Linked DNA regions of Canis lupus familiaris. The protein of the gene in region 1 interacts with the protein of each later gene in a pairwise test. Links are inferred from orthologs where the notes say so. Each region holds a gene or a part of one and is shown on either strand. Other genes may lie near its edges.

Region 1 (4,270 bases):
CAAAGGGAGAATTTAATCAAAGCCGAAGTAGGAGAAATTAAAAAAAAAACTTAGAATATTTTATAAACAAAAACAAAAACCTGCCGCCCCCCCATAACTAGACCCTCCCTTAACTCAGAGGCAGGTTTGTTGAGAATATGATTTAATTCTGTCCATCTACAAGCAACCTTACCGTCTTGCCTTTTACCCATTCAGTGGCTAAAGAGCTGGAGGCAATTGCAGACCCACAGCCAAATGTTTTAAACCTGGCATCCACAATCTTCCCCTTTTCATCCACTTGAATCTAGAAAAAAGACAGGTGTTAAGCAGTGGTTCCTGATGCCACCTCATAGATCCTGCATTTACGGGGGTTCACTGGGGGCTCTCCTCAAGGGCTTTGGTCTTGCTTTCCACACCTTAAGTTTTGACATTAATTACTGAATTTGCTTTGTCAAAAGGGCTCAGTGATGAAGAATCAAATGTAGGAACGATCACCAAAATGATACAGGCCTAATCTGGTAAAGATAAGACAAAAAATATGCCCCTACCCATTTTTTTGTTTTGCAACCCTAGTCTGCTTTTTGGCTATGAAGTTCTGCTCCTGGCTACTCATTCCGTCTGCATCTTTACACACTGGGGGGAGTCTGCAATAACCGTCTCTGGTGAGTGCTTTATAGTCTGGCATGAAATGACATCTAGTGGTTCCCTCCTGCCTTCTGTTTTCCAAGGCAGGCATGAAGACCTCCAGCAAGCTGTCCCCTCACCATGATGAAGATGTGGACAAAGGTACAGGTTTACTCAAAGTGCCAGTTACTATCTTTGTGTTGTTTCCACTTTGGGGGGGGGAGCTTGATATGTGGTATTTCCTGTCTCACTGGGGACTGCTAACTGAATGGTTGTGGTTTTCCTTTCACCAGTAAAATTCACAAAACTTTCTTCTTAGCTGGAGTTGGAATTTAAACTGATAGAGTAGAAAAGTGACACCTAAAGGGTCAGCACAGTGTGCGGGAAAGGAGAACTAAGATTTAGTCCCTACCCTAATAATCAATAACATTGACCCATCCCACCATCTCACAGGAATCCAGACAGAGACCAAATGGAGAGCTGTGCTTGCAAATGCTTTGTCAACAGCGAAGCACTGTGTGAGCAAAGGGATTGCTGTCATTACCACTAAGGATGAAAACCAGCGGTACCTGCAATTTCATTACGTCACCACATGCTGGAGCCCCCACCAATCCAGTTCCAACATTTTTTGATGTCTTGTCAAGGGACCCCACGTTTCTAGGATTTTCATAATGATCAACAACCTGCAACGAGAAGGTTAAGAGAAATGCACCATCCCTCTTTTTTTTGTTACGGGTCTCCCCAACTCGATGTTAAGTCAGCAGGCTGAACCTGTCAGGCTGTCCCTAAATAGCAAATGTCACCTGGGGAGGAAGGCTTACGCTCCTGTCAATGAGACTTTATGAACCAATCTTTTTCGTACCTCTTCTCCAGTTACCTTCAGAGATAAGGAGTTCCTGGAGAAAAAAATCGGCAAAAATCATGCCTTAACTCCATAGGGTTTTTAGTCACAAATAATTACCTGATCTTCACCGCCTAAGTCACCAGATTTGGGATCCAAAAAATAAGTACGGTCCAGCAATCAAAGGGCTTCCCAGAAGCCTCGAGGAGAACGTCACACGAGGAGCAGTGCTACGGAAGGTGTCTATTTGTTAGGCTACAACGAGACCCGTCCTCCCGCCAGCTTCAGGGCCGGGCCATCCGTCGGGGGGAGCAGCGCGCCCTGCAGGCTGCGAGGCTCGCAGCGCCCGGGCGTGGAGCGCGTGTACCGTCAACAGAACACACCCCCCGGTAGGGGAGGGGCGGGGTCCCGCCGAAGCCGCGACCGGCACAGCTGACCCGCACGGCACGCAAAGGCTTTAAGGGAGCCTCGGAGCTTGTGTCCCAGCGGCCCTAAGTGACCCCATCTTCCCGTCTCTTTTCCCATCTGACCACGGATTTCGACTCCAAGCGCGAGGACCTGTAGGACAGGACCCCGTCCGGACTGTCGGCCTCACGCGGATTCACCGCGTTCCTTAGTCGTTTCCCGAGCGGGGACGTTTCAGGTCTAGGGGACTCGACGGCCTCGGAAGGCCAGGGCTGCGAACTACGCACCTACCTCCACTCCCCGACGCCCCCCGCCAGAAAAAAATAAAAAAAAAAAAGAATTTAGAACCTTATGCCTGCTGATTATGCATCCTACGAACTCCTCCACCAGTAACTGCACCCTAAGTGATTTCCACCGGGCGGGCTCCCGTTGAGGGGGCTGCTGCCTGAGTCCCCATTTTACCGACGGGGAAAACAGGCCCGACGCAGGGCACGGACTTGCCCGAGGCCATCCGGGTAGCGGCGGCCCCCGCTGAAGCCGCAGCCCGCGCCGGGGGGCGTCGGTGGCGGGTCCCAGAGGGTCGCCCTCCCCGGGGCGCCGCCCGCCGGCCGCGGCGCGGGCAGTCACGGCGCAGCGAGGGAAGCCTCGTCCGGTCCGAGTCTCGCGAGAGGGAGGCCCGTAGCCCGGCCGCAGGAGGAGGCCCCCGCGGCCGCGCCTCCTCAGGCCGGGCCTCCGCGGAGCGCCGGCGTCCCCGGGCCCCCTCGGCGGTCCTCGCCCTCCCGCCCCACTGCCATCGCGGGCCTCGCGCATCCCGTCAGCCGTCCCTACCTTCTTGTGGTAGAGCCGGGCGGGAGCCGACAGTTCCCGGGCAGGCAGGCGCGGGCTCCGGAGCAGCAAGGCCGACGCCGCCCGCCTCAGACGGCCAGCCCCAGCCGCCGCCATCTTCCGGGCTTGCGCCTGCGCAGGCCGAGTGCGAGGCGGAGGGGGGGAGCGCGCCCGCGAGTCGGCTCCGGCTTGGAGCGCGCGCCCGTTACGTCACCGCGACTTCGCGCCTGCGTCCTCGCGCTCGGTGCACGTGTCCGCCTCTGGCCGCGTCTGGACCACGCCCCCGGGGTGGGCGGGACGCCGAACTAAAAGCCTGAAGCTGGAGGGCTCGCGAGTGCGGCGTTGTCGACCCGGCGTGGGGCGGCGGTGTCCGCCGGCGGGCGTGGGGGCCCAGGTCTGTGTTCGCGGAGCCCTGTCGCCAGCGTCCGGCGCGGCGGATCAGCCAGTCTACTTTGAACCTCATGTGCAGCTTGGGAAGTTGAGGGTCAGACCGGTTTAGTAACTTGTCCAAGGTTGCCCAGACAGACTCCGTTGGGATTCAAAGAAGGGCAATCCTGGGTTAAAAATCCTGATTCTGCACCTTCTCCACTGCGTGGCCCTAGGCTTATGACATCATCTCTTCAAGCTTCGATCCCCGCTTTTGTACTAATTCAAGGACAATTCATGCATTGAGCAAGTACGACTTGAGTACCTACCTACCGTGTGTCAAGGCGCTGTACTAGGCTTCGGGCATGCAAGAAAAAGAAAAACACATGAGTTCCCGACATAATGAACCTCACTAACGAGGGAGAAATGCAACGAGCAAACAGTATTTTCCTACCTCAAAAATGGAGCTTAATTGAGGAAACGAACACGCCATACCCTGATTGTATATGTATATGCCTGCATCTATTTCTCTTCTCATAAGGCAGCAAACTGACCTACTTAGGTGACAATGCCTGGAAATGAAGGGTTTCCAAAGAAACGCTTAGTCATGAAATTTATTAATACCGGTTTGCAGAATAGGATCCTATAAGACCAGAAACCTCACACGTGTATTTAATGCTTACTTAGGCACCAGGTATTACGTAAAGGGGAGGAATCTCTTTGGGAAACGGGTTTTCTCGTGAGGGGTGTGATCGATCCTTCCCTGAAGACTTGGAGGCTTTTTTCCTCGTTTGAGGCTCAGATGCTGGGGACGCTGAACCAAGCTCCGGGTCGGGTTAGGCGGGAAGACGGGCGTTTATGCCAAGATTCCTTTTGACCTTCTCAAGATGGCGCCAAACCGTTGACTTCAATCATCGCCCCGCGACTTCCTCTACGGCCCCCACTTCCGGTGCAAAGACCCAACTTCTGCCCGAAGTTGCAACGGAACACATGCCGTGTTGGGGAGCTTTTTCTCTGCGAGCACCTTTACACCCATGTGAAAGCAACACGAAATTCCATGCATTCCGAGGTTTTCCCGTCACTCGAGGTTCACGGTTTCCCTTTCGGTGGCCGGGAGAGCGGAATTTTGGTCAGGCGCCCGCCGCGGGCAGCCTCTACTTCAGCGGGTCTTCGGCGGCCGCGAGAAGACCCGGGAGTCACTGGAAGCGCAAGATGGCGACGGCGGCCGCA
Region 2 (4,104 bases), on another chromosome or scaffold:
ACTAGCGAGGGGTGCCTGGGTGGCTCAGTTGGTTAAGCATCTGCCTTCTGCTCAGGTCATGATCCCAAGGTCCTGGAATCAAGCCCTGGGTAGGGCTCCTTGCTCAGTGGGGAGCCTGCTTCTCCCTCTGCTGTTCCCCCTGCCTGTGCTCTCTAAAGTAAATATCTACAAAAACAAAAACAACTAGTGAAATCAGAATATCAAAATGAGGTGTGCACTTTAAAATCCCATACCGACGTGGGTTCTTTAGTTGTGACAAATATATCACAGAAATGTTAAAGAGGTCAACAACAGGGAAAATGGATGTGGGGTATATGGAAACTCTCCGCACTATGTTTGTAACTTTTCTGTAAAAATAAAAAAAAATTTTTTTTAAAGATTTTTAATTTATTTATTCATGACCAACACACACACACACAGAGGAAGAGACACAGGCAGAGGGAGAAGCAGGCTCCATGCAGGAAGCCCGACGTGGGTCTCGATCCTGGGTCTCCAGGATCACACCTCGGGCTGAAGGCAGTGCTAAACCGCTGGGGCACTGGAGCTGCCCAAAAATAAAATTATTCTAAAATAAAAATTTACTTAAATTGCCTAGTCCATGTGTACATACTAGATGTTTTTAGAAGACTTAAGATTTGGGGGGGCAGAAAGGAGGACTAATCTAAATGCTTGACCTGAATTATGAATTAACTCATTGAATCCTTGTGACAGTACTAAGTAGGCACTACTTATTATTATTATTATTATTATTTAAGATTTTATTTATCCATTCATGAGAGACACCGGGAAAGGCAGAGACACACGCAGAGGGAGAAGCAGGCTCCATATGCTGGGAGCCCAATGTGGGACTCGATCCCAGGTCTCCAGGAACAGGCAGGCCCTGAGCTGAAGGTGGCGCTAAACCGCTGAGCCACCCAGGCTGCCTGGCACTATTTCTTTAAGTAAACTCTACTTCTGATGTGGGGCTCAAACTCACAACCTGAAGATCAAGAGTCACACGCCTGAGCCAGCCAGGCACCCCAGAAGTAAGCACTGTTAGCTGCCACATGTATCGCTAAGTTTCTATATGGAGTTAATAGAAACGTAGCGATAAAATAATGTAGCCACCATCACAGGTCTGAGATTTGAACGTAGTGGAAACCGAGGCACAGGGAAAAAAAGAAATTGACAGTAAGCTAATAAGTGGAGTAGAGACAAGGTCTGAACCCAAAACTGGGCGCCAGAGTCTGCACTTAACTGCTACTCATGCTGCCTAGGTAATAACCTAGCCCCTATAGGTCAAATCTTCAAATACTGGCACAGTACACAGTAAGTGCTCTAAGTGAAAGTGGTCAGATCCCAAGAAGGACTTCCTGCATGCAACTGAAGCCTGCTATCTTCATTCCCAAATAAGTCTCAAGATCAGAGTTCCCCCACCTTCTCTGGACCTCAGAACCACCACCCGTGATGTTAAGTTGAACTCTAGGTGTCCTGCTGTGGACAGATGCAAGGTGGGAAGTAAAGACCCATACCCACTTGGGCCAGTGGAGGGTCTAGTGCATAGGAGGGAATGGCCAGGAAGCCCCCTCTCTTTTAGCAAAGGGCAGTGCAGATCTCCCTATTTTGGGGCAGGGTTGGTAAACTGATCCAGTGGGGGGCAGCTGAAGCAGAACCAACTGGCCTGAAAGGAGGGCTAAGGATAAGGGCTGATGGGAGGTGGGCAGAGGATGGAGAAAAGCTACAGTCAGGGTGATGATGCCTGCTTCTCTGCAACTGTGCTGGTGTTGCGGGTGAGCGTCCATCATCTGGAACAGGGAAAGGTGGGGATGTCTGGCAATTACTGACACCTTGAAGAAGTGAAGAAGACACAAGAATGACCTACTAGCAGCTATTGTATGGTCAAATGTCTGGGGATCTTGCCAGGGCAGGAGGTATGGTTGAGACTCAACCCCAGAGTTCCTATTAAAAATAAGATACATTAAATAGGCAATTAAGAGCCGGGCTCTGGGTTTCACAGGCATCGACTTGATTCTCATCAGGCAGAGTTGATTATTTTCTTCATTTTACAGGCAGTTCTCGATCTACGAGACTAGAGAACTTGATTATTTGGCCACCATCGCAGGTCTGAGATTTGAACGGCGCGCGCGGTCTCATTGTGACTCAGACAAGAGTCTAACCCACAAAAAGGGTTCTTAGCGTGGGGCGGCAGTTTGGGGATAGGAGTCCAGCATGTGGCTGGCCGGAAATTCGAGAACTAGGGCAAAAGAAACCAAAAGTGAACTAGGGCAGGTCTCAGAGAAGGCGAGGGATCGAATCCCTAGAATTGGGGGGGAGGGGACCTGAGTCAGAGAGACAGAGAACAGGACCCCAGAGTTGGAAGGAGGACGGGGGCCGGAACCCCTGGGGTAGGAAGACGGAGCTGGTCCCCGGGTCAGAGGAAGGAAAAGGCCTAACTCCGCGTCGGGAGGAGGAGGGGAGTGGATTCCAGGATTCCCGAGAGGAGAGGCCAGGCCCGCCTCCCGGTTGGGGCCTGGCGGGGCGGGGCGCGGATGGATCCGGGGAGGCCGTGCTGCGCCATCCCCTGTATATCTGTCCCCACTCCCCGGGGCCGCCTCATTCCCCATCCACAGATCACAATCTCCTCTCAGGCTACCGAGACGCCATCTCCGCCCGCCCAACCCCGGCTATGGCTCTGTAGCCGCGACCCCTCCGTGTCCCGGCCCGTTTCCGCGCTCACCGCGCTTGCGCTCTTCTCTACCGCCTTCTTTTCTTCAGCTGAGGCTGCCGCCGCCTCTCCTTTCCGTAGCCATGGAGTGAGTAACCGCTCGCCCCTCCCTCTCCAACCGCCTTTCCCGCCCTTTCGAAGCTCGCGGCCTTCACGACCAGGCCTGGGGGGTGGGGAGACGAGAGTGAGGAATCACGGTCGCGCAGGCGCAGAAGAGGGAAACGCGTCGTTGGCACGCGGCCGAGCATGCGCATTCGGTCCAGTGGGGGAAGGGTACGTTCTTCCCTAGAATGCTGGAGTTTAAAGATGGCCTGCACGCAGTGCGCCTGCGCACTAGCCCCGAGCGGGGGTCGCCCCCCGCTCCCCGAATGAGTCTGTCCGCGAGCGGTTGCTCACGTGCACAAGCCCACCAGACTCCGTATTTTTTGAGTGAAGGGCGGGCAGTAAGCAGCTGCACATGCGCACTGACTCCCCAACCCCGCAGGCCTGAGAGAACAATTGGATCAGTGGCAGAGCATGCGCTTTAGCCCTGCGAGAGAGGCGTGTGGCTCCGCCGGCCGGCTCCCGTCTCCGAGCTCCACCTTGCTCATGCGCACAACACAATTTATGTTTCATTCGGGCACCTGCTGGGGCGGGGTTGGGTGGGGCTGACTCAGATTGACAGGGCGGAAGGCGAGGCTTAGAGGCCACCTGTAAGGAGGGGGGTGGAGCTAGGATCAGCGGCTGCGACGGGTGGGCGGGGGTCTATCGTGAGAAGGGGCGTGGTTAAGCAAATTTACCTGGGGTGGGGTTTCAACGGAGAGAAGGCGGGGCCTCTGGGGTATCCCCGGGAATGAAGTGGGGGGCTAAGGTAATTGGACGGGAAGGGACTGGGGCGGTCACCGCGAAGCTAAAAAGAAGCCGTGGGACTTAGTAGACCACGGTTTGGAGGGGCAGGGCTGGGGGAATTCCCCTGGGAGCTGATTTTTTTTTTTTTAATTTTTATTTATGATAGTCACACAGAGAGAGGCAGAAACACAGGCAGAGGGAGAAGCAGGCTCCATGCACCAGGAGCCCGACGTGGGATTCGATCCCGGGTCTCCAGGATCGCGCCCTGGGCCAAAGGCAGGCGCTAAACCGCTGCGCCACCCAGGGATCCCTGGGAGCTGATTTTTGAGCCGAGTGTTTAGATGGGATGGAGCCTAAAGGAAATACTTTAGAGGAAGGGGTGTGGCTGGAAGAAAATTCTCCTGGGATTGAAATTTTTTTTAAAAGATTTTATTTATTTATTCATAAGAATACACAGAGAGGAGAGAGAGAGAGGCAGAGACACAGGCAGAAGGAGAAGCAGGCCCCATGCAGGGAGCCCGACGTGGGACTTGATCCCGAGTCTCCAGGATCAGGCCCTGGGCTGAAGGCGG
Region 3 (4,209 bases), on another chromosome or scaffold:
GCACCCCCTACCCGGGCTGCTCCAGCCCAGCGGCATGAGGGCTGAAGTACACCAAGCACCTACTATGTGCAAGACATCCTGGCATCACAGACACCAACTCCTTGAATCCCTGTGGCATCCCTACCAAGCAGGAACTATGTGTAATTCCACTGTGAGACAGGGAAACTGAGGCACAGGGCAGAGCCAGGATTCGGCTTTCTTGACTTCAGAAACCATCACGTACAAGGCGGTCCATGTCCCAAGCCCGGGTCCCTGCCCCCGAAGCGTGAGGATAGAAAGAGCCAGGACCTTGTTCAGGGGACAGCCTGGGAGGGAAACTCACCATTTTTGTCCGCCCGGCGGAAAATCTGCAGAGAAGAGAAGTGGAGTCAGCCTGGGCCCCAGAGGGGCAGGCGCCCTCCAGTGACTCCCAACTCATCTTGAGATCCCACGCCTGGGGGTGGTGCAGGGGGACCTGGGAAGCTGAGCAGCCCCTCCCCCAGGAGGCCCCCGCTGGGATCCAGGGCAGGAGGGATGCTTCAGGCACAGCCTTCCCAGGCGCCTGCGAGGAAGCAGCACCCACTCTTCTTCTGTGCCGACATGCGCACACACACGTGGACACACACGCTCACACCGATCCACATGCTTGCGGGTGTGCTTGCAGAGCCAGCAGTCCACGCGGCCTCACCCACTGTGCTACGCTCAGTCACACAATGGGAATCTGTGTCCCACGGACACAACCACACGCCTCATACCGCTGCACCCCTCTCGGAAGCCCGTGGGAGCCCCGATTTCCCCCCACGGAGGTTGGTTTAGTGTCAACAGAGAGGTCTGCTAAGGGAACCTCCAGGCCTGGCAACTGGGCCAGCCAGGGGCAGCACTGGATTATTTTTCAGGTGGGGGAGTGGGTGGAAGCAGGCCGTGAAGAGCTCAGAAAGCCAGCTGCAGGTGCCAGGTTCTGGCTGCATGGGGAGGGGGTGGGGGAGGGATGGGGGAGTGACAGCCACCCCCCCCAAACCTGAGCTGAGACCAGATAAGTCCTCCTGGTATTTTTAGAAGAAGGTGAGCCACAGGTGAACAGAAGGAGCAGGGGGAGGCACTAACCCCTCTGACCATCTGACCTTTGGTGCTTGCCCTGGGGCCAAGGACAGATGTCCCCCCCATCCCTTCAAGTACTCGAGACTGTGACAAACTGAAGCAGCAGCTCAGAAAGGGCTTCCTACACATCACCCCCCTCTTCCCTCAGCTGAAACCCTAGCTGGGGGTGCTCGAGCAGGAGCTGCCGTGGCTGGGGCAGAAGGGAGACTAGCAGAGCACCCATTGCCCGCCTGGGCACTCCACACCCCAGCTCCCCACTGCAAAGTTCTCTGGGGCTGGGGTCCCCCCCGCAGGTGCCCACACTGGCCACGCCAAGCAAGTGAATGGTGCAGACCACCTAAGGTGGCTCCAGGAGTCCGCTCCCCACCCCCACTCATCGCTCCATCTCCTAGATAGAGGAGTCTCGGAGCGCACCCGCACCCGCACCAGGAGGACCCCGAGCCTCCTGCCCGCACTGCTGGGAACGGGAAGGGTCTGGACAGGGCTTCCCTGCAAGGGTGGCCCCGGTTTTCCCCGCACGAACTCTGTGGGGGACCTGAGAGAGGATCTGGCTGTGCAAGAGTGTGTGTGCGTGTGCGCGTGCCTGCATGTCTCTGGGGGCAGCCTCCAGCACCCCACCGCCCAGCTCCCCCTTCCCTGCCCAGCCCTCTCTGCCCAGGGCCAACTGTGGGTTCCAGGAGAGAGGAAGGAAGGGGGAGAGGAGATCCACGCTCCCCCTAACAATCAGACCTGCAGACACAACTGTCCCAGAAGCCCCAGGAGCCCAGGACCCTCCCCGGGACAAGCACGTCCTGTGGCCGCGGCCAGGCTGTCGGGAGGTGGGGTGGTGCCCGGGGCAGGGCCCCCACCGCCTCGCCCTCCCCGACGCCCCCTCCCCCAGCGGTCCGCCCTGCAGAAGCTTCCTCCCACTCCTGGGGAGAGGGCGGGGGAGCGGGGGGAGGTGGGCTTCCCAGAGGGGGGTGGCTCGGCTCCCGGGCGGATGGGTGGGGGTTGAGCCACCCCGGGCGTGAAGGGCTGAAGGGCTGACGCGGCTCAGGCTGGAGGGTCCAGGCTCCGCAGACGGGGGTGGCCCCGATCCGCTGAGAGGGGGGACAGGAGGGGGCTTCGCTTTCCAAGAGCTGCTGGCTGCGGGGAGGGGGCTTTGGGGCGGGAACACGCGGGCTCCGGGTCCGCGGCCAGGATGGGTCGGGGCACCGGAGCCTGGGGCCGGGCGGGAGGGGGTCTCGGAGAAGTAGTGACTGGGGCGGGGTGGAGAGGAGGGGGCGGGAGGCGGCAGGGGCGGGAGGGGGAGGGTGGGGCGAGGGCGCAGCCGGGACCGAGGGAGGGGGGCGGTGGCCGGGTCGAAGGGTCGCGGCTCGGAGCAGGCAGGTGGGGATCCCGAGCCGGGGCGGGAGGGGCGTGGGGGCAGGGGAGGGGCGTGCGGGCGCGGGGTCGCGGGTCGGGGGCGCGGGGCGGGGGCGCGGGGCGGGGGCGCGGGGCGGGCGCGGGGTCCGGGGGCCGCCGGCGCGTACTCACGTCCAGGATGACCGCGGTGCCCCCGCGCGGGGAGCCGGGGCCGGGGGCGGCGGGGCCGGGGGCGGCGGGGGCGGCGGGGGCGAGCGGCGCCCGGGGCTCGCCCATCCTGGCGCCCACCCAGCGCAGCAGCCCGCCCAGCGCCCGGCCCTGCGGCGGCGGCTCCCGGAGCAGCCTGTGCGCGCCGGCCCTGCACAGGCGCGCCGCCCGCTCGCACATCGCGCCCGCCCGCCCGCCCGCCCGCGCCGCCCGGAAGCCCGCCGACCCCCGCCCGGCCCGCGGCCCGCCCCCGCGCGCCCCCTCCCCGCCCCGCCGCCCCGCCCCGCCTCCCTCGGCCCCGCGGCCGCGGCCACCGCGGGGGGGGCGCTCGCCCGGACCCCGGCCACGTGCCCGCGTCCCCCGCCCCGCCCCGCCCCGCCCCGCCCCGGCGCCGCGGCAGGGGCCAACCGCGGGGGGCGCTGCGGGCCCGGACCCAGCCCGCGCACGGAAGGGGCGCCCGGGAGGCCTGGGGTCGGGGCGTCGGGCTGCGCGGGCGGGCCTCGCCCGGGGCCGCCCCCTCCCGGAGCCCCCGAGGCCCCCCCGCGGCGCCGACGCAGGGGCCGGAGCGCAGGTGTCCGGCGAGCCCGGGGCGCCCCCTGCTGGCGGCAGCTCCAGGAACCGGCGCCCCCGCGCTCGGCCTCCCCCGCCCGCCCGCCCGCCCGCCCGGGGCCTGCGAGCCCCCCAACCCTGCCGCAGCCGAGCGCCCGGCCGGCGCCCCAGCACCCTCTTCCCCTCACGCCCCACCCACCACCATCCACCTGTCCAAAGGATGAGTGAGGGCCCGTGCCAGGTGCTGGGTTCCACTAATGGGACTGCGGGGGGGCGGGGGTGGCTGTCCTCGGCCTCCTGGAACCTACGTCCAAGTGGGCAGAGTCGGCTGCGGGAGCGATTCCGTAGACAAACGAACTATTACTTCTGAACGCCCGGGAACCTTGGGCCACCAACGGGACTGCCCTGGTGACGGAGGAGGCTGCCTGGAGGAAGTGGCCCTTAGGTGACCGCAATGGAAGAGGAGTTAGAGAGAAGAGTAAAGTGTCCTGGGTGGGAGACCCGCCCCTGCAAAGGCCCTGTGGCCGGCGCGAGCTGAGGGAGCATGAAGGACTGAAGAGACAGTGAGACCAGGAGGGAGCGTGGGAGACAGTCAGGGGCCAGGCTGGAGGGGTGGGCAGGGCTGTGAAGGCCCCCCCAGCATACCCTTCCCCCCACACACCCTCCCCTCACGTCCCTAACACAGCTGTACCCAGACTTGGACACCATCCCTTATCACAAAACTCCCCATCCCAAGGACCTCCCACATGGCCCTGTGCTTCCCGGGGCACCCAGCCCCCTCCCCACACACAGAATCCTCAGACACGGGAGTGGAGGCAGGTACTGGGTTTAATTGGAACCTGATTCTGGAAGCAGTAGAGCCTGGAGTCCTCTTGGCTCAGCTGGCCCTGGTGACCCCAGCTCTTACCAGCAGCTTTCACCCTAAATCACTGCCCCCCCTGGCCTGCAGCATCTGTTCCCACCCTGGTACTAGTCTGAGTCCCGGCAGCCTGGGCTCCCCACTCCTCTTCATCCAAGAGGCCCGTCGCCTGG
Region 4 (4,163 bases), on another chromosome or scaffold:
TGATGTCAGGCAAGTCACTTCACCATCTGTGCTTCCAAGGTCATGCTAGTGTTTACCTACCTCATAGCAAACCTATTTTGTAACTCTGGGACGTTTACACTAGGTAATATCTGCAAAATACTTACTTCAATGCCTAAGACATAGTAAATACTAAATAAATACCTACTATTGTTACTACTAACTTAAAAATGGAGAGGTTAAGAGCAGATTCAGGCCAGATAACTTAGATTCAAATCCTAGCATTGCTGGGTGATCTTGGGTAAGTTACTTACTCTCTCTGAGCCACATAAATTTCTTTTTAAATTTAAAAATATCAAACCATGGGGTGCCTGCTCAGTTGGTTAAGCATCTGCCTTCAGCTCAGGTCATGAGCTGAAGCTCCCTGAGCAGGTTGCCTGCTTCTTCCTCTCCCTCTACCTGCTGCTTCCCCTTCTTGTGCTCTCTCATTCTCTGTCAAATAAATAAGTAAAAATATCAAACCAGGGCACCTAAGTGGCTAAGTCGGTTAAGCATTTGCCTTTGCCTCAGGTCATGATCCCAGGGTCTGGGGATAGAGCCCCATGTCTGGCTCCCTGCTCAGCAGGGAGCCTGCTCCTGCTTCTCCCTCTCCCTGCCACTCCCCCTGCTTGTGCTAGCTTGTTCTCGGTCAAATAAATGAAATCTTTTTTTTTAATTATTTAAAAATCATTGAAAAATCAAAAATAAATTAAAAATATCAAACCAGTTAATTATACCTAAAGGGCTTAGAAAAGAAACCAGCACATAGTAAACACTATATGAGTGTTTGTTATTACTAACATGCAGAGAATTTCTGGGAAGGAAATAAAAAAAGGAACAGGAATTTGCAAACCAAAAACACAATGAAGATCTTAATGTTGAAACAAAACTAGTAGTTCTAACAAAAATAATTCACTGTGTGCTGGGGCAGGCATTATACCCCAAAGTTAAAAGTATCTAACTTCCTCAGCAACTGAATAAAAACAACAGCGCCCACCATTTTTTGAGCACCCACTATTAGTGTACCATTTTAAGCATAGGCTCTTGAGAGAGACCTAGGTTTGAGTCTGAGTTCCTCTTTATAAATGTGCCATGTGGGTATAGTGAGAGGTTAAATTACCCTCTCCGAGGCTTCAAAGATTCCTCCTCTGTAAAATGGTCATAATCATGCTAATTCATCTCAAGAGTCCTGGATCCAGCAGCATTAGGCTCCCTGCTTATCAGGGAATCTGCTTGAGGCTCTCTCCCCACCTCCCCTCTCTAATAAATAAATAAAACTGGAAAAAATCATCATGCTATTGTTACAGGGTTGTTTTGAGGACTAAATAGGACTATATCGGTAAACACAATGATAGCTACTATTACTATTCCCAGTCAAGGACCATGGAAAGGTTGTTCAGACTGCAGACAGTCTTACAATCTTTTCAGTAACACCAAGTGGCAGCTAGCACCTCAGCAATACATTAAAGACACTTTAGCTCAGAAAGGTGATGTAAGTTACCCAAGGCCACACAGCTAGTAAATAGCCCAAACAAGCAGGATTCCAGGCCTAACTCCATTAAGAGCATTGGTCTTTACCTTAAGCCACATTGCCTAATATCAACAGAATCCTTCCTTTTTAAGGGCTTAAAGGATTAATTATTTAATTTAATCATTTAACAAACCATTATTGAGAATTTATTACATGCCAGGCACCATCCTATGTGCTGGGAATACAGTGGTGGTCCCTGACCTTATAAAGTTTATGATTAATGAGAGACGATCAACAGGTAATTGGGTAACTGTGAAAATAATATGACGATGACGATGACGATGCAGACGAAGGCATCTAACTGTTTGGCAGGGGTGTTGGCCATTTTAGCAAGCATGATCGGAAAGGTGGGGGGTGCGATGCAGCTTGGTTTGTTCGAGAAACAAAAAGAACCAATGAGGTTGGAGACAAGATACCAGAGGCTGATTGATGATGGTATGAATGTCCTTGAAGGTAAGGACCAGATTCGCATTTTTTGTCCCTGTAGGATCAAAGAGCATAGGATCCAGATTGAGGCTTATCTGATTTCGAGACCTGGATACCTCTGGGCCGTGGGAAAATTACCTAATATCGTCTCAGTATTTCCTTGTATGCAAAAAGGTAGGTATGGTTACCGCTACCAAGGTTGCTGTGAGGATTCGACCAGGCAATGCGCATTCGCACAGTCATTATGGTATTTGCGGAACTGGGTGCAAATGCCAGTCTCTGCGTGCCCTATGTGGTCATTCCATGCCTGGACCCTCTACACAGGGCCTGGGCAGCATACCCCCAGTTTAGAGAAGGGCCTCTCCGAAAAAACGCACCCCCCCCCCCCGACCCGCGCGGCGCGCCAGATCATCCCCAAACTGGCCCGCGGGCCCCTCCCCGCAGCACGCTCCCCAGCGGCACAAGTCAACCAAAACGCCATTTCCACCCTCTCCTCCCACACGCAGCCCTCCAGGCCGGGCATGTCCCGGGGCACCCACCCCACACCTCGCCATCCGTCTCCCACGCCGCCCTGCGTGACGTAAAGCCCGAGCCGGGACGCAGCGGCCGCCTCCCGCCCCTCCGGGCTTCCCCGGGCCACCCCGGGCCCCGGCGGCCGCACTGCGGGCCGCGCGCCTCAGGGGCCGCCAGCCGCCGCCACGGCCGGGCGGGCCAAACTGCTCACCACGACGCTGGGGCTGCGGGTCGCCATTACGAAGCCGGCGGGCGCGGGGGCTGACGGCAGCCTGAACAGGAGGAAGCCGGCGTTGCAGCAGAGGAGGCGGAGGTTCTCCTGCAGAAGGCGGCGACCCGCGGGAAAGCGGAGAGATTTGCTCTGCCGTTGCGCTCTAGGCCGCCGCCGCCGCCAAGCCGAGCCTAACAGGCCCCGCCCCGGCTCGCCCCGCCCCCGGCTCCGCCCCGCCCCCGGCTCCGCCCACAGGCCGCCCGGTAGTCTCCGCCGGCGCCTGCGGGTTTCCAAGCGCACGAGGTGGGAATTTTCCTCCGGAAGAAGCGGCGACTCCTAGCGCGCATCCTGTGTCCCGTTTTCCCTGGGTCTCCCAGCGGGACCTCCGGCTCCAGGATTCCCAGACCTGTCGCCGCCTTCTTCCCAGTGCGCTAAACTGGGCTCCGGCTCTTCCGCTTGCAGTCACCACGTGCTCCTCTCGCCCGGCGTCTCCTTCCCAAGACCTTGGACCGCATTGCGGATTCCGTTTGCCCGACTGGTGGCCCAGTTCTACCAAAAAACTTTAACAGGGTGTGTGAGTTCAGACCTAGGAGCCCTAGGGTGAGCAGATCAGGGTACACATCCGGCGGGGGACACCTTACTGCTCTGTGACCTTGTGCGAATCAGACTTCCTGAGCCTCTTTTCGTCTCAGTAAAGTGAGGATATTAACGGGATTGTTGTGAGGATTAGACGCGGCATCTGTGTGCGCATACGCATGTAGACGGCACAGTACCTAGGACATTGCATAATCAGGAAGTGGGAACCGTTGCTATTACTGATCTTTATTTTTGCCTCCACAAATTCCTGTTTGGAATTGGGGCGGGTTGAGGGGGGATCCTCCCCTAGTCTCACGTAAGTCAGGTAAGCAAATAACAGTTGTTCCATTCCTGCCGTTCCTACAGCTCCGGCACCCACCAGAGTGCCCAGCGCATGCTAGGTGTCCTCTATTAGGGCCACTGAGGATATGTGATGGTAAGAGATTTGTGAACCTGGGCGTCATTGAACTCTGAGCCTTCATAAAAAAAATGAGAATAATTCTTCCTATGAAGGTTTATTGTGAGAATTGTAAAAATCACTTATGTAAAGCACCTAGCATACTACTTGCCTCGTAGTAGGTGCCCAAGAAAGAATAGCAGTTGTGATTTTATCGTGTATGAGTCTGGGAACACCATAGTGTCTGAGTTTTTCTGCCTCCCCTATCTATCATGGAGTGATAACAGACTATAATGGAAAAGGTACATGTGGGGTTTGGACTGAGATCTGAGTTTAAATCCTGAGTTGAGTTCACCACTAGCTAGTGTTATACCTTGAGCAGGATCCTCGGCCTCTGTGTGCCTCAGTTTCCTTATATGTCAAATGAAGATAATTTTTTTTTAATTTTTTTTTTATGATAGTCACAGAGAGAGAGAGAGAGGCAGAGACACAGGCAGAGGGAGAAGCAGGCT

Evidence for each region.
Region 2: the proteins of ISCU (region 1) and NUP62 interact in binary tests that used the Homo sapiens proteins (3 or more experiments, as listed by UniProt). The two-hybrid records come from large-scale screens. The link is inferred for Canis lupus familiaris from reciprocal best matches to the Homo sapiens genes ISCU and NUP62.
Region 3: the proteins of ISCU (region 1) and NECAB2 interact in binary tests that used the Homo sapiens proteins (3 or more experiments, as listed by UniProt). The two-hybrid records come from large-scale screens. The link is inferred for Canis lupus familiaris from reciprocal best matches to the Homo sapiens genes ISCU and NECAB2.
Region 4: the proteins of ISCU (region 1) and HPRT1 interact in binary tests that used the Homo sapiens proteins (3 or more experiments, as listed by UniProt). The two-hybrid records come from large-scale screens. The link is inferred for Canis lupus familiaris from reciprocal best matches to the Homo sapiens genes ISCU and HPRT1.

What each region holds. Positions count from the first base shown.
Region 1 is NC_049247.1:18,660,562-18,664,831, forward strand, and holds the start of ISCU (iron-sulfur cluster assembly enzyme ISCU, mitochondrial), read right to left. Parts: upstream 2,840-4,270; 5' UTR 2,792-2,839; coding exon 2,678-2,791; intron 1,287-2,677; coding exon 1,173-1,286; intron 284-1,172; coding exon 173-283; intron 1-172. Other genes in the region: SART3 (squamous cell carcinoma antigen recognized by T-cells 3), read left to right, coding at 3,899-4,270.
Region 2 is NC_049222.1:107,311,038-107,315,141, reverse strand, and holds the start of NUP62 (nuclear pore glycoprotein p62), read right to left. Parts: upstream 2,850-4,104; 5' UTR 2,717-2,849; exon of another isoform or gene 2,499-2,716; intron 1-2,498. UniProt on the Homo sapiens protein: Essential component of the nuclear pore complex. The N-terminal is probably involved in nucleocytoplasmic transport.
Region 3 is NC_049226.1:68,838,586-68,842,794, forward strand, and holds the start of NECAB2 (N-terminal EF-hand calcium-binding protein 2), read right to left. Parts: upstream 2,809-4,209; coding exon 2,593-2,808; intron 348-2,592; coding exon 323-347; intron 1-322. UniProt on the Homo sapiens protein: May act as a signaling scaffold protein that senses intracellular calcium.
Region 4 is NC_049260.1:106,044,726-106,048,888, reverse strand, and holds the start of HPRT1 (hypoxanthine-guanine phosphoribosyltransferase), read right to left. Parts: upstream 2,855-4,163; 5' UTR 2,706-2,854; coding exon 2,679-2,705; intron 1-2,678. UniProt on the Homo sapiens protein: Converts guanine to guanosine monophosphate, and hypoxanthine to inosine monophosphate. Transfers the 5-phosphoribosyl group from 5-phosphoribosylpyrophosphate onto the purine.